Rattus norvegicus: one gene and its partners. The protein of the gene in region 7 interacts with the protein of the main gene of each other region in a biochemical or structural test. Links are inferred from orthologs where the notes say so. Each region holds a gene or a part of one and is shown on either strand. Other genes may lie near its edges.

Evidence for each region.
Region 1: the proteins of Abl1 (region 7) and Crkl form a complex in vitro, tested with the Homo sapiens proteins (4 studies listed by BioGRID and IntAct, with this or other methods). The link is inferred for Rattus norvegicus from reciprocal best matches to the Homo sapiens genes ABL1 and CRKL.
Region 2: the proteins of Abl1 (region 7) and Erbb4 form a complex in vitro, tested with the Homo sapiens proteins (2 studies listed by BioGRID and IntAct, with this or other methods). The link is inferred for Rattus norvegicus from reciprocal best matches to the Homo sapiens genes ABL1 and ERBB4.
Region 3: of the proteins of Abl1 (region 7) and Rin1, one has a biochemical effect on the other in vitro, tested with the Homo sapiens proteins (2 studies listed by BioGRID and IntAct, with this or other methods). The link is inferred for Rattus norvegicus from reciprocal best matches to the Homo sapiens genes ABL1 and RIN1.
Region 4: of the proteins of Abl1 (region 7) and Atr, one has a biochemical effect on the other in vitro, tested with the Homo sapiens proteins (2 studies listed by BioGRID, with this or other methods). The link is inferred for Rattus norvegicus from reciprocal best matches to the Homo sapiens genes ABL1 and ATR.
Region 5: the proteins of Abl1 (region 7) and Xpo1 interact in a test that uses a peptide from one of them, tested with the Homo sapiens proteins (2 studies listed by BioGRID). The link is inferred for Rattus norvegicus from reciprocal best matches to the Homo sapiens genes ABL1 and XPO1.
Region 6: the proteins of Abl1 (region 7) and Prkn form a complex in vitro, tested with the Homo sapiens proteins (2 studies listed by BioGRID, with this or other methods). The link is inferred for Rattus norvegicus from reciprocal best matches to the Homo sapiens genes ABL1 and PRKN.

What each region holds. Positions count from the first base shown.
Region 1 is NC_086029.1:97,064,658-97,068,657, forward strand, and holds the start of Crkl (crk-like protein), read right to left. Parts: upstream 2,801-4,000; 5' UTR 2,319-2,800; coding exon 2,008-2,318; intron 1-2,007. UniProt on the Homo sapiens protein: May mediate the transduction of intracellular signals.
Region 2 is NC_086027.1:78,042,807-78,046,965, reverse strand, and holds the start of Erbb4 (receptor tyrosine-protein kinase erbB-4 precursor), read left to right. Parts: upstream 1-1,359; 5' UTR 1,360-1,392; coding exon 1,393-1,474; intron 1,475-4,159. UniProt on the Homo sapiens protein: Tyrosine-protein kinase that plays an essential role as cell surface receptor for neuregulins and EGF family members and regulates development of the heart, the central nervous system and the mammary gland, gene transcription, cell proliferation, differentiation, migration and apoptosis.
Region 3 is NC_086019.1:211,783,934-211,787,906, forward strand, and holds the start of Rin1 (ras and Rab interactor 1), read left to right. Parts: upstream 1-1,173; 5' UTR 1,174-1,309; coding exon 1,310-1,464; intron 1,465-1,608; coding exon 1,609-1,789; intron 1,790-1,888; coding exon 1,889-2,003; intron 2,004-2,092; coding exon 2,093-2,165; intron 2,166-2,275; coding exon 2,276-2,367; intron 2,368-2,503; coding exon 2,504-3,244; intron 3,245-3,492; coding exon 3,493-3,798; intron 3,799-3,973. UniProt on the Homo sapiens protein: Ras effector protein, which may serve as an inhibitory modulator of neuronal plasticity in aversive memory formation. Can affect Ras signaling at different levels. First, by competing with RAF1 protein for binding to activated Ras.
Region 4 is NC_086026.1:105,379,322-105,382,821, forward strand, and holds part of Atr (serine/threonine-protein kinase ATR), read left to right. Parts: intron 1-91; coding exon 92-324; intron 325-1,472; coding exon 1,473-1,607; intron 1,608-3,342; coding exon 3,343-3,500. UniProt on the Homo sapiens protein: Serine/threonine protein kinase which activates checkpoint signaling upon genotoxic stresses such as ionizing radiation (IR), ultraviolet light (UV), or DNA replication stalling, thereby acting as a DNA damage sensor.
Region 5 is NC_086032.1:101,461,950-101,465,449, reverse strand, and holds part of Xpo1 (exportin-1), read right to left. Parts: intron 2,289-3,500; coding exon 2,091-2,288; intron 1,415-2,090; coding exon 1,276-1,414; intron 1,091-1,275; coding exon 752-1,090; intron 657-751; coding exon 493-656; intron 1-492. UniProt on the Homo sapiens protein: Mediates the nuclear export of cellular proteins (cargos) bearing a leucine-rich nuclear export signal (NES) and of RNAs.
Region 6 is NC_086019.1:52,212,932-52,217,052, reverse strand, and holds the start of Prkn (E3 ubiquitin-protein ligase parkin), read left to right. Parts: upstream 1-1,321; 5' UTR 1,322-1,480; coding exon 1,481-1,568; intron 1,569-4,121. UniProt on the Homo sapiens protein: Functions within a multiprotein E3 ubiquitin ligase complex, catalyzing the covalent attachment of ubiquitin moieties onto substrate proteins. Substrates include SYT11 and VDAC1.
Region 7 is NC_086021.1:35,471,587-35,475,086, forward strand, and holds part of Abl1 (tyrosine-protein kinase ABL1), read left to right. Parts: intron 1-833; coding exon 834-986; intron 987-2,519; coding exon 2,520-2,609; intron 2,610-3,104; coding exon 3,105-3,269; intron 3,270-3,500. UniProt on the Homo sapiens protein: Non-receptor tyrosine-protein kinase that plays a role in many key processes linked to cell growth and survival such as cytoskeleton remodeling in response to extracellular stimuli, cell motility and adhesion, receptor endocytosis, autophagy, DNA damage response and apoptosis.

The DNA of each region.
Region 1 (4,000 bases), on a different chromosome or scaffold from region 7:
TACCATACAACATAAGATCAATTAGGAGAATATCAGGGGGTTGGGGATTTAGCTCAGTGGTAGAGCGCTTGCCTAGGAAGCACAAGGCCCTGGGTTCGGTCCCCAGCTCCGAAAAAAAGAACCAAAAAAAAAAAAAAAAAAGGAGAATATCAGTAATTATTACATTTAAGTTGAGATACTAAAAGAGTATCCCTCAAGGTACACTGCCATCTGTTCTAAAATTTAAAATGTACAATTTGCAGCTATACAAGGGACAGTTATATCAAATTTGGAATAATTATGACTTGGTTATTTCTTTCATTTGGAAATTAAGCAAGACAGAAAAGATAGGAATGCATGTCAAGTAGAGCTAAGGAAAAACTCAGGAAATTACATTTGGTACCTGAGAGACACATGAAGTAGAGTAAGATCTGTAAATAGCAGGAAGCCACTGCAGTATTCATTCCCCTCTTTGAGGTGACTCTAATAACTTAGACTTTCTCCAATACCTGTCACATGCTGCAAGCATGTTTTAATAAAGGCCCGAAGTCAATAATATAATCCACTTCCACAAATAAGAGAGTAATTTACTTAGCTGTATCACCCAACATTATCCTTCCTAGGTTTCTCCAAGCTCTTACACCTTCCAGCATCGCCTAGGAACTTCATGTTTCACAGAACTTGAGTGTCCTCCTCTTGCTAGCATTACTCTTTACAATCACCTTTCTGTGTTCACATTTTTAAAACGTACTTGTGTGAGGATACTCGCTTGCCATGATGCGCATACCGGGCTAAGGGACAGCTCTGTGACTCAGCTCTCTCCTTCCACGCTTGCGTGGGTCTGGGGACCACACTTTCCCTCCTCATCACCACTTAGCCCTTCTCCACACTCTAAAATCCAGAGTTTGGCCGTTAACCGTACATACATTCACTGTACCATCCCAGCTTATTCTTCTATCCTCAAGAAGAAACTCTGGATTTAAGTAGGTGCCTTTAATTAATTATACTATCTTTTCAATTTCAAAGTCCTGAGCAAATTTCACCTCTATGAAGTCACCTCACCTTAAATCTAAATCAGTCCTCAATTCTTTCTTAGAATAGCTTAGAAATAAACGGGGCAGTAAAATATCTTTTAAAGTGTCTAGATATGTTTTCAATTAACACTTGTATCATTTGATGATATTATTAGGAAAATTAAAGCAAATTATAAAATAATGCATTTTAATTGAAAAAGAGAACACTTGGGGATCAGTGTCTTTTTCTTTAAGGCAGGGTCTTGCTACAGCTCAGTTTGGCTTGGAATCAAGGTCCTCTTTCCTTAGAGGATTAGGGGCGTGTATCTCTCCCGTCTAGCGCTACTTGGGTGTCTTTAAAGTATATGTTAAACAACTAGACTTAATTACAAAAAAACCCCAAAAAAACAGAATTAATGTAGAATGAAGGTAAATACACTTTGCACCCTGCGGAAGGAACAGTGATGATACAAATTCCCTCAAATAAAACCTCAATCTCTTTCCTTGGTAATTCCAGTTTTTTGGTTTTTTGTTTTTTTAAGTGCTACAGCATCAGATTCTGAGATTTCTACCCTTTCGATCTATTTTAAGGATTATTCCAAAGGCTGAAGGCCAGTTAGCTGACAGATGCAGGAGCTACAAAAACCTTAAATGGTGTACATGAATTTCGAGAAAGTAGTAGTCATGGCTATCTTCAGAAACTCAAGATAGTCTATATATTTTAACGTCGTTAATAAGAATTTTGCACTAGTATTACAGTCAACTAAAGTGACAAAACTATGTATGTGTGGGCTTGGGGGTGGTGGTGATTTAAACAATGCAAGCACTACTAAATGTCTAAATAAAATGCATCCTTTCATCCAACCCAGATCCTGACATTGGCCTTCCAATCCGAATGTCTTCTGGTTCAGAATGAGAAAAGGGAGTATCCCTTACCCCCACCCCCAAATTTCAATCTTTGACCGACCCTCCGCAGGTCAGGTTCCGAGCCCGAAAAGGGCAGGAGCTCGCCTACCTGGGCGCTGGTTCGATTAAGGTGGTAGTATCCAGGTAGTGGATCTTGTAGAACTCCAGCAAGGCCGGCAAATGGTCAAACTCCTGGTCCCCGATCTTAAAGCGGCGGTTGGGCAGGGAGTTGATGATGTAGTGCGAGACACGCGAGTTCTCGGACACGGACAGTACATAGTCCCCAGGGCAGGTAGATGAGTCCCGGACTAGGAACATGCCATGGCGCTGGCCCTGGAGACGGGTCTGCGCCTCCTGGCGAGACACTGGCCCCATGTACCAGGCAGAACGGTCTGAAGAATCAAACCTGGCGGAGGACATGGTGTTGGGCCCGGGGATGGGCGGCGTCTGCTGCTCTCGCTTGCTCTGGAAGCCTTTACCCGCTGTCGGCTTTGGGGTCGAGGAAGGGCCTCTTCTCGAACACTTCGAGGAACAATCAGAGGGCTTGGTCAGGACGTTCCTCTAGGCTCCGGGCCCCGCAGCATCCTCCGCCACCGCCCTCCTGCACAGGGCCGCCTCTCGGAGAGAGCCGGTCCGGGAACAGTGGGCAAAACCCCTGGGTCGAGGTGGGCGAAACAGAGCAGTAGCAGAGGCCGCCTCGGGCTTCTCAGCTGTCCGGAGTAGGATCCAGCGACTTCTGTCCTGGAAGCCGCCGGCTCCGCAGCCTCAAGAGCCCGCACGGTTCCTCGCCGTCACACGAAGCACCGCACTCCAACAACAGTCGCGCCTCCCGGACCGTCCTACCCTACCCGTTCCCAATAGCCACAGCAACAAAATGGCGGACGCGGGAGAAGCGACCGGGCACCTCCCCCTTGGTCCAGCGTACTCTATCTGCGCTTGCGCGGAGCTGGGCGCTACCCCCACCGCAGGGGCTCTTCCTTTGACGTCACTGGGCGCGGCCAATCAGGAGTGCGTTCGCGAGGGTTCCAGCCTAAGCCACTCGTGCGGGCTCCCGCGTTCCGGGAGGAGGCAGAGGGTCAAGCCCTTCCTGGATCGCAAAGCAGCCTCTGAGTGGCTGCTGCTGTAAGGCCTACCGGGCTTAGCAGGAAAACAACTGGACCCGAGAGGGAACAGCGTTTTGAAAACCTGTTTCTGGGAACAAAGCATAGCGTGATGGCTGGATGTCTGGACAGGGAGGCGTGGCCCTCAGGTGATTTTTAAGCCTGAAGGCCCTGATAAGTCAGGTGGCTTAGGAAGGGCATGACCTAGGCAGTGAGTTGACCATCAAATAGGTTACTGAATAACGCCTACCCTAAGTGATCCTACTTGGTACACGTGGAATGATGGTGAAGGTCAGTTTGACTAATGCTTTAAGACGAGGACAGTGTGATGATGGTGACTTGGCCACTTCAGGCTCTGAGATGTAGCAAGAGAAATGCAACACTTGTATCTGGCTTGCAGGTTTTGCCTGCTCCAGACCTTTGGTCTCTCTCCAAAAGTTCATTTCCTGCCATTCAGCCGTTCCAGCTGTGCCTTCCCAACATGTTTTCTCTCTCCAACAACACTAGGACCGATCTCTCTATCTATCTATCTTTCTTTCTTTCTTTCTTTCTTTCTTTCTTTCTTTATTTATTTATTTATTTATTTATCTATCAACCAATCAAGATAGGAATTCTCTGTGTGCCCCTGGCTATCCAGGAACTAACTATAAACCAGGCTGGCTTCAAATTCACATCTACTGGGCTCTGCCTTCCCTGTGCTTGAATTAAAGATGTGAGCCACCACTAACAGGACAGGATGAAATTTTATTACAACAGGAATACTGTCTTATTTTGCCCGCCTTAAAACCACATCTAGTCTTGAATGATCAGAAAATTGTTAAACGAATGACCATTGTGAAAAATCTACAAAAAACTGATGCTGGATTATTGGTCACAGCATTCCCAAATTAGATGAACAGGAAGGCATGTCCCAGACCAGTGATGGTGGCACTACCAGTAATCCCAACACTGGGGAGATGGCAGTAGGAGGACCATGAGTTCAAGGCCAGCTGAGCTATATGA
Region 2 (4,159 bases), on a different chromosome or scaffold from region 7:
AGAGTCAAAGGATGTGGTTTCACAAATATGGGTTTTTAAGTTTGGCTCAATGTCATCTTGGGAAGGTGGGAGAGACGGCGTCTTATTTGGGAAGACAAGAACTGTTGGCAGGTTTTATTTTACCTGCAAGGCTACCAGCTACCTGCAATATCCATTTTAAAGTACTAAGCACGGAACGTTCTGGGGTGATGGAGAGGGACCGAGATATTTTTTTTCCCAAAGCAACACTGACTTTCTATTTCTAGGGAAAGTCGTGCGTGTGGACTGATGCCTTGGAGCAATAAAGAAAATGTCCTGTTCTTGTGTCAAAAATTCCTTCAGCAAGCATTCCCTCTGGTGGACTGACTTCTCGGCGGGCCAGCTGTCCAGGGCCTCTGCCAGGGCAGTCGCAAGGGGAGCGTTTCAGACTGTGGTCTCCACTGAGCCTCTCAGATCCTGCTTCCCCTAGGAGCCCCTACCAACACCGTGCTCCCACTGCCTGACAGGTGTTTTCCCAACTCTAGGGGCAGTGGATTTTGGGGAGTGTCTGAGCCAATAAGATTTCTCCTTAGGGGGAGGGCGTGGCTACATGGGTCAGAGCAGGGGCGGGGCTTGCGCAGCGGAGGAAAGCCTGGCTGGTTGCGTGGAGGGTTGTTTGATTCCCACCCCCACTCCCCTCTTTTTTTCTTTCTTTTCTTTTCTTTTCTTTTTTAAAAAATCTTTCTCCCTGAGTCTTATTAATTTCTCTGTGGGGCTGCGGCTGGAGACCGCGGAGCGTTGGAAATGACGCTCGGAGCTTTAATTACTGCAATGGCTGGACAAGTGTGAGGAAAGCTGACAGTGGAAAAAAAGGGGCACAGGATCGGGGAGAAGGAAAGAAGCACCCCCCCTCCTTTTCCCTCCAGATTTGGACAGGAGATGCAAGGAGACTGAAGAGAGAGCTGAACATAGCCTGGTTTTGGGGGGAGAGGCCGGAACCCTGCCGCCTCTTCGCAATCAACTTTTTTTGGAAGCCTTTATTCCCCCTCTTTCTTTTTATTGTTGACCAACCAGTGAGAAGGAGAGAGAGCGAGCGAGAAAGTGAGGAGTGAACGGGCGAGCAGAGGATCACTCCGGAAACTAGCTGTACGGTTGTGCTCGGAGCACCAGCCGCACAGTCGCGCACACTCCCATCCGCGCGCCCTCCTTCGCGGCCCCTTGCTGGGTCCGCGGGTCCCCGGGTCCTGGAAGCCGCCACCAGCGCCGACTGGCTCGCCAACCCCGGGAAGCCCGTGCACAGAGCGCGCCGCGCCCGCCCCCCTCGCGCCCCCCACGCGCTCCCGGCTGAGGGGGGGAGATCTCCTCCGCGTGCCCGCAAGTGGCTATGGTATTTGGACATGTAATTGTCAGCGCGGGATCTGAGACTTGCCAAAAATGAAGCTGGCGACGGGACTGTGGGTCTGGGGGAGCCTTCTGGTGGCAGCCAGGACCGTCCAGCCCAGCGCTTCTCAGTCAGGTGGGTCGCGGTCTCGCGGTTCCCAGTCGCGCTCCAGCTGTTGAACCCGCCACCGCCTCCGGTGGCTCCCTTCTCCCCTCGTTCCTCTGTCACCCTCCGGCTTGAGGGACCGTAGGGACCTTGCTTCTGGCTTGGGTCGCCCCTTGCTCCATCCCAAACTTACCTTTGTGTGTGCGTGCGTGCGTGTGTTTTTATTGATGCTACAAATGACTCCTCTTTCTTGCCTCCCTCTGTATTATTGTCCCCCCTCTCGCCCTCTCTTTAGCCCCCTTCTTTCTTTCTGGCGCGTTTTCTGGGAGCCTAAGCGGGATCGCTTCTGGTGGCGCCCGTTGTTCGGGGCGTGGGAGACCTAAGCCCCGTCAGTGGAGGTTCCCTCCTCCTCCGGCTGGGAAGGGAAAAATAATCAAACCAAACCGGAGAATCTCTGCACCTCTTCGGGCCGCCAGGAGGTTCCCGGGCTGAGCCTGGCTGGCCTTCCCGGGGTGCAGGGCTGCGGCGGAGCGCGGCTGGGGAGCGGGGTTGGCACCTGAGCAAGCTGGCACGCGGCCGCCGGCCCGAGTCTCCCGTACCCTGCGGGGTCACATCGGACGCTCAGCCCTATCCGGGCAGCTGGAGCGCACCGGGTGCGCGCCTCGGCCAGAGGCCAGGGACTCTGGGCCTTCTTGGTTGGCATCTCGGGGCTGTCTTTCGATTGACTTGGGGCGAGAAGGGGGGGGGGGCTGGCTCGCCTGCCAGCAAGATCTCTTAAGAAAAAAAAAATCCTGGCATACTGAGCCCGGAGCCCGGCCTTCCCTCCCGGTGCTGGTCTTGGCTCCGGGAAGAGTTCTTCCAGTAGTGCAACTTGGGGTTGGCCTGAACTTCTGTTTACTGCCCCGCCAGGCTGCAGAGCCCGCGGGTGGCACTCATTGACTTAGCCCGAGGCGGGCCGGGTGGCGGCTTCCTGAGTGCCGCCACTGTTGGCCCGATCGCCCAAGCCCTAGGTATTTGGACAGAAAAACGACTAATTGACCCCGAGAGGCAGCACAGAGTCGCTGGCGTGCTGGGGCCGCCAAGGCCAATGACAGCGGCTGAGACGTAGAGGAGCTCAAAGTTTTTTGACTCTTGGGAGTTTCTCCCGGATGAGAGGAGGGGACACGAAAGGACTAAGGAGAACCGGTGTGTCTGACCCGGCTGAGAGGGGCGAGAAGAGGGCTTTTGGAGAAGGCAGAGAGATTTCCGGAACCTTCCGGGGCTGGTGGCGGGAACGTGGGAGTCAGCTTGAGAAGATAAAGCGTTCAGCAGTGGCGACAGGGAGAGCTTTAGGTCCCTAGAGGGTGTCCTTCTGACCTCACCGAGAAAGCGGCTGCTTGCTAGTTTTCCCGCTCCGCCCCCGCTCCCGCCTCTTCCTCCTCGCCTAGTAAATAACAAGTTACAATCTCTGAGCTGTTCAAAATGACCTTCGAGTGGCACAAGCTCGCCATTTGTGCTGGCCGTTTGCATACTCCCAGTGACTCCGAGATTCTTCGTGCATTCCAGATCCTGCGCTCCAGCCACCTCTGGAATCAGAGCGGCAGCAAGGACTTGAGATTCCAGGCGGCCGCCTAGATACATCCCTTTCTAGCTTCCCACTCGGAGCCCCTTGCCTTTCCCTTCAATGGGTTGATTATGCACATTGACCCATTCAAAGACACTCGCAACTGTCATGCAGGCTTAGCCGAGAGGAATTTCTATCAGGCCACCCTACCAGGGGGCTGTCTGGCATGGCCTGGGCCGCTGGGAGATCCCCCCTCAAGTCCACAGCAATTGGTATTAACTCTACAGCTCCCGGTTGGGCTATGCCGAAGAGCCCTTTTCAGAATTTAGGCAAGGAATGTAATCCAAATTAGTTCTGTAGCTGTCCCCTTCCGCGTCTCAGACGACACCAGCTTGCTCCTTAGCTCTCTCTGCTCCTTTCCCTGGGCGAATTGTCAGACCCACAAGTGAGCCCATTTAGAAGCACAAGGATTAGCGTGCCATTGTTGTTTCGTGTGTGTGTGTGTGTGTGTGTGTGTGTGTGTGTGTGTGTGTGTGTGACTCTGTACTTGAAATTCTGGGGACACAAAAGAGAGACTCACTTGTTCAAAACACAAAGTGATCTAGATGAAAGGGCCGCACAAAGAAAAGCTCTCGGGTGCATCCCTGGTATAATTGCAACAAGCATACTTAGGTGATCTATTGGAAACTGTCTGTGCCCCCAGGGACTTCTTTTTTTTCCAGGCGCCTCCACCGCACCTGGCAGAGAAAGTTCAGCTGGTTTTAATGTAGTGCTATTATAAAAACAAGACGCTGTCTGGTGAGAGCGAGGCTCTGTGTTTGCGCCTGTGCGTGTGTGGCTGTCTATCCAAGTAAATACATAGCGCGCGTCTCCTCTCTCGCGGTTAGCAGTCGGCAGCAGTTTGGAGGAGTTTGTTTTGGTCCAAATGAGAAATTAAGTGCGGATAAGTAAACTAAGCTGCCAGAGGGCGACAAGATGTTGAGTGAATTGCTTTTAGATGAAACAAATTAAGGAAACGAGGGAAGACAATCTGCTTCTCGCATTATTAGACACGCTTGGAGTTCAGGGGGAAGTGGCATATTTTTGAAATGCTAATTTCTTAAGCAGAAGGAATGCACCTTATTTACTGCTGGATGTGAACGGAATAAAAACATACAGTGGGTGATTCCCTT
Region 3 (3,973 bases), on a different chromosome or scaffold from region 7:
TTCTACCCTTCTAGGACCCTGACCCTGCATTTACACTCGGAGGGTCCTTGGGGCAGCTGGCACCGCACACAGGATTAACGTTTCTCTGCAAAGGCAGGGGGTTACTTACTGCTGGACTCCTCTGCTCTCCTTGGGATCTGTATAACCAACCGGCCCTGACGCTGACCTGGCCAAGCAAGACCGTTGTCTCCATCCCTGAGCAGCCCACCCCTCCCCAAAGAGTAACTTCTCAGTGTCCCCCACAAGAAGACAGGCCTCATCCAGAGTCAAAGCAGCAACCCTCCTGACTAAACCCTGGTCCTTGGCCACTGAGTCATGAGCCAGGCCCCGCTGCAGGAGGGACTCCTGCCAGAGACATGTTGGGTCTTGCCCATCCTAACTGCCACTGGGGAGTTGGCTTCCCAGGCTTTCTCAGGGCCATTCCTGGTGTCTGCCTCTCAGATCCCAAGGACTGGAATAAAATTGGACCTGGATATGACTGCTGTGTGGTTGTTGTATCTTACAAGGGAATCAAGGCTTTTGTGGGGAGCACCTAAGACAGACTTCTGGGGTCCCTACAGTTTGAGACATTAGTTCTTAGAGAAAAGCCTGAGGAAGGAAGTTGGGACCAGGGCAGGCAAACAGTCGAAGCACGTGGCCTCGGGTGGGGAAGGGGCTTCTGCACATTTCTGGAGGTCAGGTCATGTCTGCACCTGCCCCAAACACTTGGCAAATTGGCAAGGCGGGCTAGCTAGCAGGGTCTGTGTGTGGGAGACAGCTAGCAGCAGCACCATGTGCTGTCGACCTCACAGCCACACGCCCCCTCTGCTTAGCAGTGAGTGTCAGAACCACCCCCAGAACCTCAGTTAAGCAAAGAGCTTAGTTTCCATGGAGACACAGCATCCTTTCTCCATAGCAACCTGAAATCACAAAACCCAAGTTAGATTCAGGAATGAGTCATCTGCAACCAGTAGGGGGTGCTCTCCCACAAGGCTGACCCCGCCTTCAAGGCTGGAACAGATGAGCCAGTGACCACAGACTTCTTAAGGTGACCCAGGGGTGCGGCTTGGGCCTGTGGGAACTTGGTTGGCCGTGTTTAACCCCTCCCTATCCCACTGCATAGTGTGAGGAGGCTACAGGAAGTGCTGTGTGGAGGTGCTCCTCCCACAGCGGGGGCCCTGATAGACTCTAGTGTGGAAGCCTCTGCCATTCAAGACTGGGCCAAGAGCAAAAGAAGTGGACACTGGCTACATGGAGTGGACATACAAGAGTTAACTGGCGGGGTGTGACCGGGCGAACCGCCTTCAGGAAGTGTTACTCACCGCCAGGAATGTGCACGCCTGTGCCTTGGGGGTTGGATTCTCTTCCTGAGTCCCAGGAGAAGCTGAAGGAGCTCCCAGCCATGGAAGACCCTGGTGAGACCGAAGCACACCCTCTGGGAGCCACCAGCCTGAACTTTGTACCTGGGTACCAACAGGAAGAAAAGTTAGTAAAGTCGGGAGATCAGCCAGGTGCAGGGGGTGAGGGCAGTTATAGGAAGATCTGGCAAGGACAGGAGAGATGGGAAGCCCCAAATGGGAAGAGGTGTTCACCCAAGACCCCTACTCAAGTCTGGGTGTCTGCCCCCAGGCCATCTCCAGACCCACTGTATGACACACCTGATGCCAGAGGGGTTCAGGCAGGCGGGTCCCAACAACCAGCACGCACAGTGAGCTTGCGGGAGCGGCTGCTGATCACCCGGCCTGTGTGGTTACAGCTGCGGGCCAACGCTGCAGCCGCACTGCACGTGCTGAGGACAGAGCCTCCGGGGGTGAGTCTCTCCCGTTCCTAAAGGTCTAGCCGGACAAGACTGGGAGGGAAAGGGCCTGGACGTGGAGATCCTGAGCCTCCTAATCTTGATCACTCGCAGACCTTCCTGGTGCGGAAATCTAACACTCGCCAGTGCCAGACTCTATGTGTGCGGCTGCCAGAAGCTAGTGGCCCCTCTTTTGTCTCCAGCCACTATCTCCAAGAGAGTCCTGGCGGTGAGGAGGGTGGCCTAGAGGGAAGGGGCTGGAAGACAGGCAGGGGAGGGAGGTTCCCAGAGAACGGCCTCACTCCCAATGTCTCTCAGGCATCTCTTTGGAGGGCTCAGAGCTCACATTCCCGGACCTGGTCCAGCTCATCTGTGCATACTGTCATACCAGGTGAGCCTGCCAGCAGGGCACCTGGTGACCCCTGGGCCTGCCTCCAGGGACTGCCCACCCTCTGCATCTGAGCACCACTCTCTCTTGACTGCACTTTGCTCTGACCTTAGGGACATTCTTCTCCTCCCTCTCCGACTCCCCAGAGCCATTCATCAGGCAGCCACCCACAAAGAGCTGGAGGCCATCTCCCATCTGGGCATGGGTAAGGGTCCCCTGCAGCCTGTTACACAGATGGACACATAGAAGCCAAATGGGGGGAAGAAAGAACAACCAAGATTTTTCTTTGTGGGTACTCTCCAGAGCCAGCTCTGAGGTCCCCATTGGTTTCTGATTGCTAGAGTTCTGGAGTTCCTCTCTCAACACCAAGAACCAACAGAGACCTTCAGAAGCTCCGCAGATACCCCGGCTGAAGGCTCGCTCCCCTCAAGAGCTGGATCAGGGCACTGGTGCAGCCCTCTGCTTCTTCAACCCCCTCTTCCCCGGGGATCTGGGCCCCACCAAACGTGAGAAATTCAAGAGGAGTTTCAAAGTGCGTGTATCCACAGAGACCTCCAGCCCTCTGTCTCCACCTGCTGTGCCGCCTCCTCCAGTCCCCGTTCTGCCAGGGACATCTTCCAGCCAAACGGAAAGACTGCCCCCTCGACAGCTGCTGCAGAGGGAGAGCTCAGTGGGATACCGTGTGCCAGGAAGTGCTTCTGGTCCTAGTCTTCCTCCCCTACCTTCACTTCAGGAGGTGGACTGCTGCTCCCCCAGCAGCTCAGAGGAGGAGGGTTCTTCAGGAAGCCCTACAACCTCCCCACGCCTAAGCCGCCCAAGGCACCGGCGGCCTCTGCTTCGGTCCATGAGTTCTGCTTTCTGCTCTCTGCTGGCACCAGAGAGGCAGGTGGGCCGGGCAGCTACAATGCTAATGCACAACCGATACACAGCTGTGGGTCAGCTAGTGCAGGACCTATTGACCCAGGTTCGTGTTGGTCCTGAGTCCCGGGAGTTGCAGGGCATCCGACAGGCCCTGAGTCGGGCACGGGCCATGCTGAGTGCAGAGCTGGGCCCTGAGAAACTGCTACCACCAGAGCGGCTGGGTAAGGCCGAGCCCTGGCCTGCACCGGTTCATGTCCCTGGCTCTCCATCCTCCCCTGTCTCCCTCTCTCCTTGACTTTGGTACCTAATGACTGCTGCTTACCCTGCACCCCACCCCCACCCCTTCTCACTACTGGTGCAGGGAATTCCATCTTCTCCTCCTCACCCTTCTCCCTATCTCCTGTCTTGGCGAGGGACTCCTGCTTTTCCAGGCTTCTTTCCCCTGACAGCAACAACTCTCTTCTTGCAGAATTGGTCCTGGAGAAATCCCTGCATCGCTCTGTTCTCAAGCCTCTTCGACCCATTCTAGCTGCCCGCCTGCGGCGCCGACTTTCCACAGACGGTTCCCTTGGCCGCCTAGCTGAGGGCTTCCGCCTGGCCCGGACCCAGGGGCCTGGAGCCTTCGGGTCCCACCTGAACCTTTCTTCCCCAGTGGAGATAGAACCAGTGCGTCAGAAGCTGCTGCAGCTCCTTCGTGCCTACTCGCCTAGTGCCCAGATCAAGTGGCTCCTGCAGGCCTGCAAGTTGCTATACACAGCCCTGAAAACCCAGGCAGGTATGACCCCCTTACCCCAACCACTTCCCCCAGCTCCACTCTTTCAAAGTAGAGGCTGTGCACTACCCACTTCCACAGCAAGCCGGTTCCAGAACCCCAGAGCTGCAAGCAGCATAGAAGGATCCAATCCTCTATTCCAGGAACTCTAGAGAACATTGTCTTTCTTCCCTGTAAC
Region 4 (3,500 bases), on a different chromosome or scaffold from region 7:
TTTTAAAGCTGTTTTATCAGGGTTATTTTTTCTGTGAAATGAATTGAAATACTGATGTTGTTTGTTTTTCCTGCCTTAAACTTGCCCTTAGGTGGTCGTTCTGATCGTCTGCAAATGAGAAATGATTTGGCAAAAATAAATAGTGTACTCACAGAGCACACAAATCGGTTAGCACCATATCAGTTTTTGACTGCTTTTTCGCAGTTGATCTCTCGAATTTGTCATTCTCATGATGAAGTTTTTGTTGTCTTGATGGAAATAATAGCCAAGGTCTTTCTGGCCTATCCTCAGCAAGCAATGTGGATGATGACTGCTGTGTCAAAGGTAATCATTAGTTAGCCACTTACTGTGTCAAGTTTTTTTTTTTTTGTTGTTGTTGTTGTTGTTGTTGTTGTTTTCTTTTCTTTTTTTCGAAGCTGGGGACCAAACCCAGGGCCTTGTGCTTGCTACCACTGAGCTAAATCCCCAACCCTGTGTCAAGTATGTTTAAAGCAAGTATATAAATACAAATTCCAGGGTCCTGGCCTATATTGTTAGTAATTTTCCTATAGAGAGAAAAATATAGAGTTTAAATATTTTGAGATACTTATCATATGAAATGAAGTTACCAATATGTGAAGAGTAAAGACTTGAGTAGTACTGTCTTTGTGAAGTTTTTAATAAATATTTATAATATAGCCACTTTTTAAAAGATTATTTTTATGTGTATGCGTGTTTTACTTGGATGTATGGCTATGCACCATTTGCATGCCTGGTGCTCAGGCGTCAGGAGAGGAAGTGTTGACTCGCTGGAACTGCAGTTAAGAACAGTTATAAATTGCCATCAGAGTGCTGGGAGTTGAACCCAGTTCCTCTGTGAAAGCAAGTGCTCTTAATCACTGAGCCATCACTCCAGCCATGTGAAGTTTTAAGTGTTTTATTCCAAGATCTTGAAAATCTATTAGCGGGCATATACAAGTTGATTAGTATATTTAATGAGTAAATATTATAGAAAAGTTAGTATAAAGATAAAAGGAAAATTAAAATTCAGACTGTTACTTTTTCTTGTAACTTTTTATGTACTTTTCTAATCCTATTTTAACAGTAAATTTTAATTAAGTTGACAATTATATTTTTACTTAAATATTAGATGATTAAATAACTTTAGTATTAGATAAATTATATAATATTCTTTGACAACACATTTTTGTAATTGGACAAAATTATAAAAATAGCTAACCATTAGTTCATTAAAGTTTTGTTTTATTTTCCTTCTGTTCTGTTGTGCTACGTCTCAAAATATTGGATTGTTTCATCAATGAAGATCCTATCAAAAGTATTCACAGGCTGTATGATTAAAATGGTGTTATCAAATTGATTTCCTAGACGCTTATGTTATAAACTCACATCTTAAATAGTCTTTTAAATTGATTCTTGCCAATCAGCTTTCCTATAGAATTGTATTTAATCCCCACCCCTTTTTTGATTGACAGTCTTCTTATCCCATGCGTGTGAACAGATGCAAGGAAATTCTTACCAAAGCTATCCATATGAAAAAGTCTTTAGAAAAGTTTGTCGGAGATGCAACTCGCCTAACAGACAAGCTACTAGAGTTATGCAACAAATCGGTACGTTCAGATCTTAGTGCACAGCAAGCCATGAGAGATAATATACAGAAGAGTTATATAGAAACTGGTTTGTGAGTTATGCTGTTATGTTTCATTAAAGTTTTAAGTACATCAGTATACACATACCAAAATATATCAAATGGTATATTTTAAATATATATCTTTGTATCTTTTTCCCCGACCCCTCTTCTTCATATGCTAGAGATTGAACCAGAAACCTAATCTTGCTAAACAAGGGCTTTACCACTGAGATATACCTCTACCCCCTGTATGATTTACCTTAATAATTCTGTTGTTTTAATTTGTAACATATGTCCCCCTTTCATATATCCTCAATGTTTCTGAATTTCCCTGAAAGTATATTTTAATAGTTATCAGTAGTTTTAAGTAAAAAATATTAAATCAACTATATAAAATAATATAAATAAATATAAAATATATTTAAAATGCATTAAAAGAGTCTTTGATTATATTGTCATATCCTTAAGTTTTGAAAACTTGCATGTCAGTCTACGTATCAGATAGGAAAATGAATGGAGAGTTTTTTTCTTGGTTAATTGATTGCCTTTAAATAGTGTTAGATATCAAACCCAAGACTTTATCCATAGTAGGCAAGTACTTGATTCATGAACCCTTGATTTTCATTTTTTCAAGGTATATTTCAATGCATAGGCATTGTGATGAAGGAACAAAGATGACTAGTAGAAATCTGTCTGGAATTGCTGGTACATTTGTAAGGAAGTAAGCAGTGGCTATCATCTGGAGTAGTAGTAATTATTTTCAATATGCTTGTGACTGAAGTAGGAAGGTAGATAAAGCAGTAAATCACTGTTCTATGTTAGGATTGGGGGGGAAGCTAAATGTAAGAGATCAAAGTATATGGGGTGATTATTAAAGGGAAAGGTTCTTCATCAGGTAAACCGCTTCATTTGACAATCAAAATCCAGTAACCATTTCTAGGTAAAAAGATAAAGGTTACCCTATTTTTTCCCTTCCTTTCATGAATAACCTATTCTCAAAAGCATAACCTTTCATTATTTCCATTAATTGTATTTGACCTCCGATGTACTTAACACTAGGAAAAATGTACTTATTGGATGCTGGCCCTATAAGTGCTTTACATGTTCAGGTGCTTAGTTCTTTATCTGAAACCTTAGTTTTTTTATCCTAACTACACTTAGGAATTCAATTTTTTTCTCATTTTAAAAGTATTCATACTTACATTGACTATTCTAACTGATGGTAATGTATCAGAATATCCAATAATCAAACACACATAGCATTCATCTTTACATTAAGAAATTCAGTATCGGGGTTGGGGATTTAGCTCAGTGGTAGAGTGCTTGCCTAGGAAGCGCAAGGCCCTGGGTTCGGTCCCCAGCTCCAAAAAAAAAGAAAAGAAAAGAAAAAAAAAAAAAAGAAATTCAGTATCATCTTGTTGTTAAATGAGGTTTGGTAACCAAAAAGAGTTATCTACAGATTTTCCTGATAATAGATCTCTGGTTTCTACTATCTCCTCTGGTCATTAAATACTCCTGTGATAGAGGCACATTATTTATAAGGTAAAAGATTTAAATGAGAAGATTAAAGATACTTAGGACATTGCACACTGTTGAATAATTGAGGTTGTGAAAGTAAAATGTTTAATGTAATTAAAGTTCTGTAATTTAAGGTTAACTCAGAAAAATTGAAATATGCTGTTTGTTTGTTTGTTTGTTTGTTTGTTTGTTTTTAGGTTGATGGAAGTAATTCTACATTGAGCATGAGCACTCACTTTAAAATGCTTAAAAAGCTGGTAGAAGACCCAACATTTAGTGAAATCCTCATTCCTTTGCAGTCAGTCATGATACCTACTCTTCCATCAATTCTGGGTGCCCATGCTAATCATGACCC
Region 5 (3,500 bases), on a different chromosome or scaffold from region 7:
CTTATTTTCCCGATTTTGAGCCTGTTTCTGTAGCTTTGACCGTGTGGATGCATGTGGGAATGGGGAGCTATGTGTGCATAAGTGTACATGCCTGAAGAGACCGGAAGATGACAATGGAGAACTTCAAACCCTGAATTACAGGAGTAATTAAATCTGGATGCTGGGAACCCAAGTCCTCTCTACAAGAGCAGTGCCCACTGTGAAGTGCTAGGCTGCCCTCCACCCATGACCCATGAGCACATCACTTCTATAAACCACAAAGGACTGGGCAGGGACTTGGCACTTAGGAGGACTGGCTGCAGAGCCAGGAACACAGGTTTAAGCCCAATCACCCACACCGTGGTCAAGGTTGTAACTCCAGCTCCATGGTCTCTGATGCCCTCTTCCCAGCTTCTTCATGCACCAGTGAAATAGGAGGTGTACATGCATGCACACACACAAGCAAAAGCTCACACACGTTTAATAATAAGCACTATGATATGACATGTATACCTGCTGAGGCTGAAGATCACAAATTATAGTATTTATGTTGTTTAAAATCTCATCAATAAACGGCATTACTTCTCCAACTTGAACCTGAACAAAATGTCTACGGCATTTTTGAGCTATTTTAATAAATGTGTCACAAGCCATGTCCTGGACTCCATCATGGGTTTCTGGCAAAGTAAAAACATTCATTCATTCACTTTTGGTTCAACATAACAAATAAAAAGTAAAATTAGATACCATGAGTTTATTAGGTGAGACTTACCATGCATGAATTCGAAAAGCTTGTTTACTACTGTCTTCAAAAATTTCCAGTGTGCTCTCAGAAACCGTGGGTACTGGCCTACTATGTACATGATATTCGATGCAATGATGGCTTTATTATCCTTGCCTCTCTTCTGCTCACATAATCCTAAGAGGTCCTTGATAACAGTGACAAGGAACCGCTTCTCATCCTCCTCGTGCATCGCCCCACTGATGGAGCCTATTGCCCAGCACAGTGTATTCAAATTTTTCCATGACCATTCTGTACCATTCACTTGATTTTGAAGTTTCTTAGTCATTATTATTTCCGTATCTACATAATCCAGATGGGTAAGATAAACTACAAAAACCAAGAGAAAAATGCAGATGTTTCACATGAAAACAAAATTTTTTCTGCTAAGGTTTAAGAGCATACTGGTAAGCATATGGTTTCTAAAGGAGTCAGGTAAATGTAGAACTTGGACCAAACATTTACTTTTCACAAATATGGCAAAAAAGTATAAAAATTGTCATTTATTTACTTACCTAATGTTTCTCTCATATTCTTATACAAATTTATGGAATCAGTATCCTTCATGAACTCTCTTACAACTTCTCCCTGATCATTTTCTACAACCAGTACCTCCTCTGGTTTAGCCATGCGACTAACCATCAATAAACGAACCTATTGATCAATAAACCAGTAAAGGAACTGTGTTAAGACATTTAGAAGCCACATCAAATATAGGTCAACAGGACTGTGGATCCCTCCCCTATTTAGAGGCTAAGACTGGCTACCAAGTTGGAAATAAAACTTTCAATTAAGGCATAGCCAGCCATACACGCTGGTGAAAACCTGGGAGGCAGATCCACGAAGACCAAGAGGTCAAGGTCAGTCTCAACTAATTAAGACCTACCTACACTTTCAATTGCAAAATGCTTGGTTCTGTGATGCAAGTCTGTAATCTCAGCAGTGGGAAGGCTTTCTAATCTCAAAATTTACTCTTTTGGTTTTTCTGGATAGCCTTGGTTGTTCTCAAACTCGAGATCCACATCCTCTGCCTCCTGAGTGCTAGTATTAAAGGTCATCACCCCGTTTGATCTGTGTTTTTGATCCTATCAATAAACAGTCAACTTCTAATCTATAGACTTCATGTTTTATTGAATGACTAGATCGGGGATAGCCAATGAACAACATACACTTTAGTAAATCCAAATGATGCAAGGATGTTAGCTTAAAAAACATCCTTCTAAAACATTCTTGACAACTGGAAAACCTCTCAAGTTCTCTTCCCAACACTTTAGGCATCAAAGCTATAGTAAGGCTGGAGAGCGCTCACCACCGGTTAGTTCATCATTACCTTGGATAACACGGTCAAGTACAGCTGTCTCCGAGGAGGAATATCAAAGTGCTGACTTCCAGATAACAATGGAGAAGCAGATGTAGAAAATGGACTCTCTCTGTAGAGCTCAGCTGCCAAGTGATTCCAGTACTCAAGACAGATTTTAAAAATTTCAGTTTCTTCCACTTCAGACACCAACAACATGTAATGAAGAGCCTACACATTAAGACCAAAGGAATTAGTATTATCACAAAATTTTCAAATTGCTTCCCCAAACTTAGTAAGAATTAGAAACTAATATTCTGAATCTAGGCACATACATGCCTTTAATCCCATCCCAGCACTTGGGAGGTAGAGAGCCAGGTGGAGGTCAGTCTTGTCTACAGTGTGAGCTCTAGGACAGCCAGCCAGAGCTACAGAGGAAGCCTTGTCTCAAAAAGCAAAACCAAAAAACTATTATTTGAAATACATAAGGAGGGTGCTGGAGAGATGGCTCAGTGGTTAAGAGCACCGACTGCTCTTCCAGAGGTCCTGAGTTCAAATCCCAGCAACCCCATGGTGGCTCACAACCATCTGTAATGAGATCTGATGTCCTCTTCTGGTGTGTTAGAAGACAGCTACAGTGTACTCATATACAAAATAAAATAAAATAAAATAAAAAAATAAATAAATAAATCTTTGAAATACATAAGGAATTTCATTCCTCGAACAGACTGAAAACTGGCAGCAAATTTTTTTCTAACATGCCCTCCAATGTTTCCAGAGTACGTAACAATACAGACTCTTCACACAGCTACGCCCTATAGCTCTGGTGCCAGCTCATAGGAAGGCACAAACTGCACGCCATGCTCAGGAAACCACAAGTTTGAAGTCAGCTACAAGGCCATATGGTGGCAGATGATGGTAAAGCAGAGACTAGAGTCACAGAACTTTGAGAGTGGATGGTTATATATAACCCAATTTCACTCACACCACTACTTTGAGGACTTTGTCTCAACAAAATAAAATACTATAAAGGCTCAGTAAACACAAAACATGAACACGTTCAAAATGAAATATCGGGCTGGAGAGATGGCTCAGCGGTTAAGAGCATTGACTGCTCTTCCAGAGGTCATGAGTTCAAATCCCAGCAACCACATGGTGGCTCACAACCATCTGTAACATCTTCTGGTGTGTCTGAAGACAGTGACAGTGTACTCATCATATATAAAATGAATAAATAAAATCTTAAAAAAAATGAAATATCATATAACAATGAAGAGCATAGTAATGTCAGGGTTGGGGATTTCGCTCAGTGGACTAGCAAGTGGAAGGCCCTGGGTTCGGTCCCCAGCTCCGAAAAAAAGAAAGAGAAAAAGAAAAAATAAAAGAACATAGTAATGTCACAACATACTAAGGTTGGGGATTTAGCTCAGTTGTAGAGCGCTT
Region 6 (4,121 bases), on a different chromosome or scaffold from region 7:
TGCTAAAATAAGTTATTTACTTACTCACTTTCTAGGAGGTGTACCAAACAGATCTCAGAAAGTTTACAGTTCATTTAGTTTGTATGCTAGCCTAGCATTTAGAAGTCTTGATTAAATCTGATATATTTAGAAAATATTGGGAAAAATGAAATACTATACATTTAACACACATTTGTTAAATAATACTAATATTTACGTATTTTTATATTTTATATTTATATGTAAGTATATTATATTTATATAATAAACTTGTAACTAAGTTTATCTTACTTTAGGTATTATATCAAAGCCTTGGAACTATATATTTGACTGTAGCAGTTTGTAGAAAATGCTTTCCTTTTGACATGATTAGTAGAACTAATTGCTTTTAAATTGTCCTACCAATCAGAGATAATTTGCCATAAAAAGTATCTGAATACCTTCTTTGTTATGTTTGCGATGTTATTCCTCAGTGGCTAAGAGTTCCGATGAGTGAGTGAGTGATTTGCTGTATGGGGAGAGGACAGATGTGTGGACGGAGGGTGAGTAGGTGCAGGGTAGGAGATGGGAGGTGGAGCGTGGAAGGTAGAAGATGTATAGATGAACAGATGATGGGTGGAAGGATGTACAGTAGACGATCGAGAGCGAGGATAGGGGAAGAGAAAGGATGGGTACACGAAAGAGGGTGGAAGGTGGAGCAAAGGCAGGCTAGGTAAGGAAAGGAACTTTGCCAAGAGTTTTGCTTCCTGGATAAAATATCACAATTATTTATTATTATTATTATTATTATTATTATTATTATTATTATTATTATTAACAGTAGCCTTAGTTCTGGTCTGTCTGAGACTGTCTGAAGATGATAGTGGTAATTCACTGATCCCCTGTTTTTCTGTTTGAATTCAGAATAACCCAACCCAAATAACACAAAATAGTCTGAGAGAAAATGACTCTCTCTAATGCCAATCTTAACCTTACTGTAAAGGTAAAGAACTCTGCTGTAGGCTATTGAGACTTCTCCATAACTAACAGTATAAATTGTTCTCTTGGTCAACCTGCAGTGGTGCACACAGACACCAGACAAGAGGGAGAGGTCTCTGAACATACCAACCATGAACATGGTTTTAGGCATACTGGATTTATTGGGAGGGTACATGAGCCTTTGGAGGTGGAAGAGCTACTCTCTCTCCTTCGTCCTCTGTGGCCAGGGCTAACAGTTCAGTGTAAAAGTTAAGCTTGCAAAAGCAAGAGATTGGGAGCCCTGGGATGCCTGTTTCTGCCCTCCTTGTAAATAGTAAGCAAGCCCCTCTTCCTCTTTACTCATCTTGTAGGTGGGAATAGTAAATGCTGTCCCAATTATCTCGCCATGCTCCTGTGAAGATTAACTGAGATAATGTCCGTACAAGCACTTCGAAAATAGAAAGCTGTATCTGAGCCAAAGATAGCGCTATCAGGACACCACCATCACTTGAGATCAATTGCTAGGCACTCCACAGCATAGTGCATGGAACTCCGGGAGAAGAAATGGCTACAGTTATCCAAACATCAGTACTGCATATTCGACGTGGAAACACAATTACTTCTAAGACATGGTGGGATTCTAGTAAAAGTAAATAATGATTAAAATTTACAGAATTGTACTTTCCTTGTATTAATTTCTTTAATTATCATGACCACTGTATGAAGTAATTACTATTATTATTTCCTACTTGACTTAAGATTGATGGAAGGAGAGTAACTGTGAACCACAGTTACAGAGGTCACAAGGAGGGCAGAGGTAAATGTCAAGTCCAGGAAGCAGTTCCTGAGGCCAGGATTACAGCCATGGCATCGGCCTCTTGTTAGATACATTCTTAATTGCATTCCCTACCTCCCATTCTTCATCTCTCATAGTGCTAGTCAGAGATTAAGGAAGGAAATGGAGGAATTCATCCCAGAAATGAGGAAAATTAGAAAGCCAAGGGAGAAAGGGAGGCCAGTGCATAGTCAGGTGGACATAAAGAAGTGTTAGAGCCATGGTGAAATTCTAGGGGCTGCTCTTTCCTGGGACACTAACTCTCTCACCTACCAGAGGGGTTCAGAGTCCTAATCTGTGGTCTGTCTCCAGCCTGGGAAGCTGAGAGCATGAGGAGACATGAATATAGCCACATGAGGTTCAAAGCACTTCTAACTGGACCAGGGAGGAATGGGAAGGCAGGACATGTGACTTACAAGCTCTCTTGAATTTCCAAGTGGTGACAACACATAAAGGTTCATTGGATATCAGCTAATCAAACCCTAGTATATCTCCTACTCTCCACTCATTTTCGCCTCCTGTATATCTGCTCTCAGCAAATGCTATCCTGTCCACAGGCACTGTCCTCTGCACAGACGCTGCCCTCTCCACAGATGTTGCCCTCTTTGCAGACACTGTCCTCTCCACATTCTCTGTTCTCTTGTCAGACACTGTCCTCTCCACAGACACTGCCCTCTCCACACACACTGTCCTCTCCACAGACTCTGCCCTCCTCACAGACACTGTCCTCTCCACATTCTCTGTTCTCTTGTCAGACACTGTCCTCTCCACAGACACTGCCCTCTCCACACACACTGTCCTCTCCACAGACTCTGCCCTCCTCACAGACACTGTCCTCTCCACATTCTCTGTTCTCTTGTCAGACACTGTCCTCTCAACAGACACTGTCCTCTCCACACACACTATCCTCTCCACACACGCTGTCCTCTCCACAGACATTGTCCTCTCCACAGACTCTGCCTTCCCCACAGATTCTGTCCTCCCCACATACTCTGTCCTCTTTACAGATACTGACCTCTCCTCAGATGCTGTCCTCTCCACAGTCTCTGTCCTCTCCATAGTCTCTGTCAGAGAGGACCTCAGATCCCTTGGAGGTGGAGTTGGGGACTTTTTGAGATGTCCCATGTGTACTAGGATTTGAACTCTGATCTTCTGTAAAAGTAGCCATTTACCCCCGAGCCATCTCCTTAGGTCTTGTCTCCAGTGTTATTTTTAATAACTTAATCATTATTACGGATGTACTGTTTGTTCATTTTTACTGAGGTCCTATCTTTATTTGTATTTCCTCACCTTTTTCTGTCTTTGTATTTTCCCATCTCTCATCTGGAATAACACACTGTGTTTAATTATTGCATCCCCTTGGGTTCTTCTAGACTCAGATCATATTTCAGACATGTGTTGCTTTAGTGACCTTGAGGTTTTGAGTTGTGACCAGGCATTTTTGCAATGCTTATCAGCCGTTTTTTATCTGATGTTCTTCTTGGAGATTAGACTGGGGTTGTAGGATTTCAGGTGGGAGCCCACAGAAGAATGGGCCATTCTCAGTGTCCCCTTTCCTGCTGGCCTCCTCACCAAGGAGTGTTTGTCAGGCACCCCCACTGTGGAGGACCTCTGGTTCTCCATGCACATAGGAAGTTACTGTGCATATATGCTCTGCACCTTTGGACAGTTATCCTCTGACTGAGCTTCTGTCAGGTTCCCTTCTACCTTCACGCTAGAGGGGTTCACCACAAGGTGAGTGGCAGAATTTGTGCACTCCTTTTCTGGCTCTTTTCCTTCCAGGATTGCCTTTCTCCTCAGAAGCAAATCCCTCAGGTCTCAGCCTCTTGCTTCACTTAAGACAGCACTGAGGCTTTGCTTACAGGAAGGCTCCCAAGGATAACCACTCTGATACAGTCTATAGTCAATTGAAAGTCTGTATTCCAGTCAACTGGAACTACTCTCAGGCATTTGGGACCCAATTGTAACCCGAGTATGTGTGTCCAGAACACTGGATTTTTGAAGCTTCAGTTGGGTTTCACCAGAGGAGGCAGTTTAACAGATGCTAAGATAAACTCCCTAGGGCACCTTGACCTTGGGGTCCTAGAACATGTTTTGGTAATTTTCCATGGATTGTCCATCAAGGAGATCAAATTCCAATTAAACCTGAAATGCCCTCATCAAGACCAGAAGATACAGGAACCTCTGCACTGTCTTGCCCCGTCACAAATAAAGTAACGAATTTGCAATTCACTAATCTAAGATTATAAAATACTATATGTAAATATTCATGGATACTGCACATGTATATAAATACATATGTGTATTTACTTTATAATTATTCCTTAGGCCAGGATATCACAAATTCTGA
Region 7 (3,500 bases):
TAGTGTTTTGTGGTGTCACTCTGAGTTCTTTGTTGACACATTCCTGTGTTCCAGTATACTGTGCTTCTTCTCCTCATCTCTGGCCGTCTCCTTCCTTGTCCTTTGACAGTACCCTGTAGTCTTCCACAATATCTGTGCTCCAGGGAACAAGATAGTCCGGGCTTCTTCCCTGTCTTAGGTCTCAATCACCTGTTTTTCTAAGGAATCCTGGTTCTTAGTGGGAAGAAGGATGCCACGACTTTGACAGTTCACAAGATTTTTACAAACTGTTGCAGCTGGAAGGGACCTTGGAAGTAATCTCACCTTCAAACAACCCACGGCCCGACAGGCATGTGGCTACAGTCACAGAGCTATGCTCAGAACATGGCAGCTGACTTAGAGCCCTATGCTGCCTACCCGAGGGGGACCCTGTGCCCCAGGAGGCTCACCTTCCCCTCTCTCCCTTGCATGCTTTAGAGTAGCTTGAGTAAACAGCTTTGCTCTGTCCTACCTCTCCTAGGCTATTACCATGGAGAGCCTGGTAACTGTCAATGCTGGGACTGCTCTGCAGGTCTCTCTGCTGCACAGCGTGGAAAATGCCTGTATGTCCTGTGTGTGTTGGGGGCGGGGTGTGTGTTTGGGTGTTTTGGTATGTATGTGTGTGATATGTCTGTTTGGTTGTGTGCATGCTATGGCACACATGTGACTGTCAGAGCACAACTCTGTGGACAACTTCTCTCCTTCCACCTTTATGCCGGGTTTCAGGATTGAAAGGTCATTAGCTTTGTGCAGATGCTACCTCACTGGCCAATGCTCACACACCCTGATAGTCTTCCTCTCCCTCTTTCTTTCAGCATTTGGAGTATTGCTCTGGGAAATTGCTACCTATGGCATGTCACCTTACCCGGGAATTGACCTGTCTCAGGTTTATGAGCTGCTGGAAAAAGACTACCGCATGGAGCGCCCGGAAGGCTGCCCAGAGAAAGTCTACGAACTCATGCGAGCATGTGAGCCTCCCCAACCCATTCAGCACTACTCTGAGGAAATTGCACAAAGCCATTCCAGTGGGCCCTGGCACTCTGTCCCTGTGTTCCCAAGCCATCCATGCAGTGTGACTTTGAGTCTTCCGTGCGCTTATTCCCAGATGTAGTACCTCTGGGTTGGTTTTGTCTCCCTCTGGGACAGCTAGTTTTGGTTTTTGTTTGGTTTTTGTTTTGGATCAGGGTCTTGAACTATGTAGCCCTGACTACACAGTGACTCTCCTGCTTGAACCACACAAGCTCGAGGACTACAGGTATGAGTCACCATGCCCAGGTCGCTTTAAGTTCTTTAAGCATAGAGAGGGTTAGATGTCAACCTGGGTATTATTAGTACAGATCCCTAGGTCCTGCTTCCAAATACCTGGCTACAAATCGCTCCAGATGATAGAACTCTGGTGTTTGTATTGTGCGAGTGTATGAGCGCATCTGTGTGGTGTGCATGTGTGCACATGGCTGTATCATGTGTTCATGTGATCATTCCCTCACCTTTTTTTCCTAGCATATAGTGCTGCTGTCTGTATACTTAGATCTTCCTCACCATGTTCCCTACCTTCATTAATGCTGCTGTCTAGCATTTCAGTTAACAGTTTGAAGCATCCACTCATATTTTACACACTTGTTTGCTTTAATTATATTTTTATTATTTATTTTGTTTGTTTGTTTATGGGGCATGCATTCTACAGTGTACAGTTTTGAAGAGCTGATTCTCTTTTTCTACTGTGTGGATCCCAGTGGTCAAACTTAGCATCAGTCTTGGCAGAGTGTGCCATTTTGTGGCCCTGTGTTTGCTGCTGCGTATAAGGCAGACACACACGATTAGCCTCGTCTCTACATGTAGCACGATATTCCTAAAAGCTGGGCCGTAGGTCCAAAGAATCTGTGCTGTGATAACAAACCAGTGATGTTGCAGACGGTTGTGAGTCCCATGGGTACTGGGAACTGAACCTGGGTCCTGTGCAAGAGCAGCAAGGCTCTGAGCTGCTGAGCCACCTCTCCAAGCCCTAGTCCTTTTAGTCTCGTTGTCATGCTATTGGTGATACAGGCTGTGGTCTCAGTGCAAGGTAAGCTGAGGCAGGAGTATTGCTTGTCAAACAGCCCAGACAGTAATGAGGTCTAATCTCAAAGAAGCAAGAGAGATGCTCGTCTGTGCTAATGGGGACGGTAGACACTGATAGCATCAGTAAGGATGGTGACCGAGGCAGGCTGTTGCCTTGTTAACTCCCTGTCTATCACTGGGGTTTGGAGAAATGTTTATAGATGTGGTTTTTATTATCGGTGTCTCTGGGATTTTGCAAACAGTATTACTGCCTGTATATGATGTCTTCTTAATTCTTAGTGTCTGTCAGAGGACACAGGAGTTTTTGCCATTAGCCTGTCCCAGCCTCAGCCATCAGCAGGCTTGGAATGCCTCTTTCATGTCCAGACTGCTCCTTGGGTGTGGCTAGTTCTGGTTTGTTAGCGATGCTCTCCGGCTGCTCTGACGTGGCCTTCTCTGTCCAGGTTGGCAGTGGAACCCCTCTGATCGGCCCTCCTTTGCTGAAATCCATCAAGCCTTTGAAACCATGTTCCAGGAGTCCAGCATCTCAGACGGTAACATGCCTCCCAGGGGCCTGCAGTGGGTTGAGGGTTGGGTTGAGGCTGGACAAGCCTTCACTTCAGACCTGGTACCAGACAGCACTCTTCAGAGGCTTTGGTGGTGGCTCTGTGTCTGTCAGGTGCAGGCATGCAGAGTTCTAGAACATGCCAAGAGCTGTTTCTTCTGCTTTGTGTTCCTTTTCTCTAACTGCATAAATCTTAAGAAAAAGAGAATCCCAGGAACTGGAGAGCTAGCATGGTGGCTAAGAGGACTTGGGGTCAGTTCTCAGCACCCAGATGATGGTAACCCACGACACTAGTCACAGAGGATCCATTACCAGCTTCTGGCCTCTGCACCCATGTGGTACACAGACATACCTGCAGGCAAAATGCCATACACATAAAAAAAGTAACTTTAAAATAAATTAGAAAAAGAGCAAAGAAAAAAGAATCCCTTGCAATCTGGCATCTTTGCTGATGACTACTGGGTTATGTTTATGTGGTCCTTAGAGGTGGAGAAGGAGCTGGGGAAACGAGGCATGAGAGGAGCCGCCGGGAGCACCCTGCAGGCCCCAGAGCTGCCCACCAAGACCAGAACCTGCAGGAAAACCGCTGAGCAGAAAGATGCACCTGACGCCCTGGAACTGCTCCACACGAAGGGCCTGGGCGAAAGCGGTACGTCCGCCCTTCCCATCCCTCACCCCTCAAACCAGGCAGGCAAGCAGAAGCCGTCAGTGGGCCTGGCACAGAGGGCATCAGTCCCTCCTCAGTGGTCCAGCCCAGGGAAGAAGATTTGCCTCTTGCCCAGGGGAGCCTTTCAGCAGTTGCTTAGACAAGCTGAAAACTGGGACTCCTGCCAAGAAAGCACATCCACCTTTGCTGTGCTCTTCACAGCCCTGTGGGCAT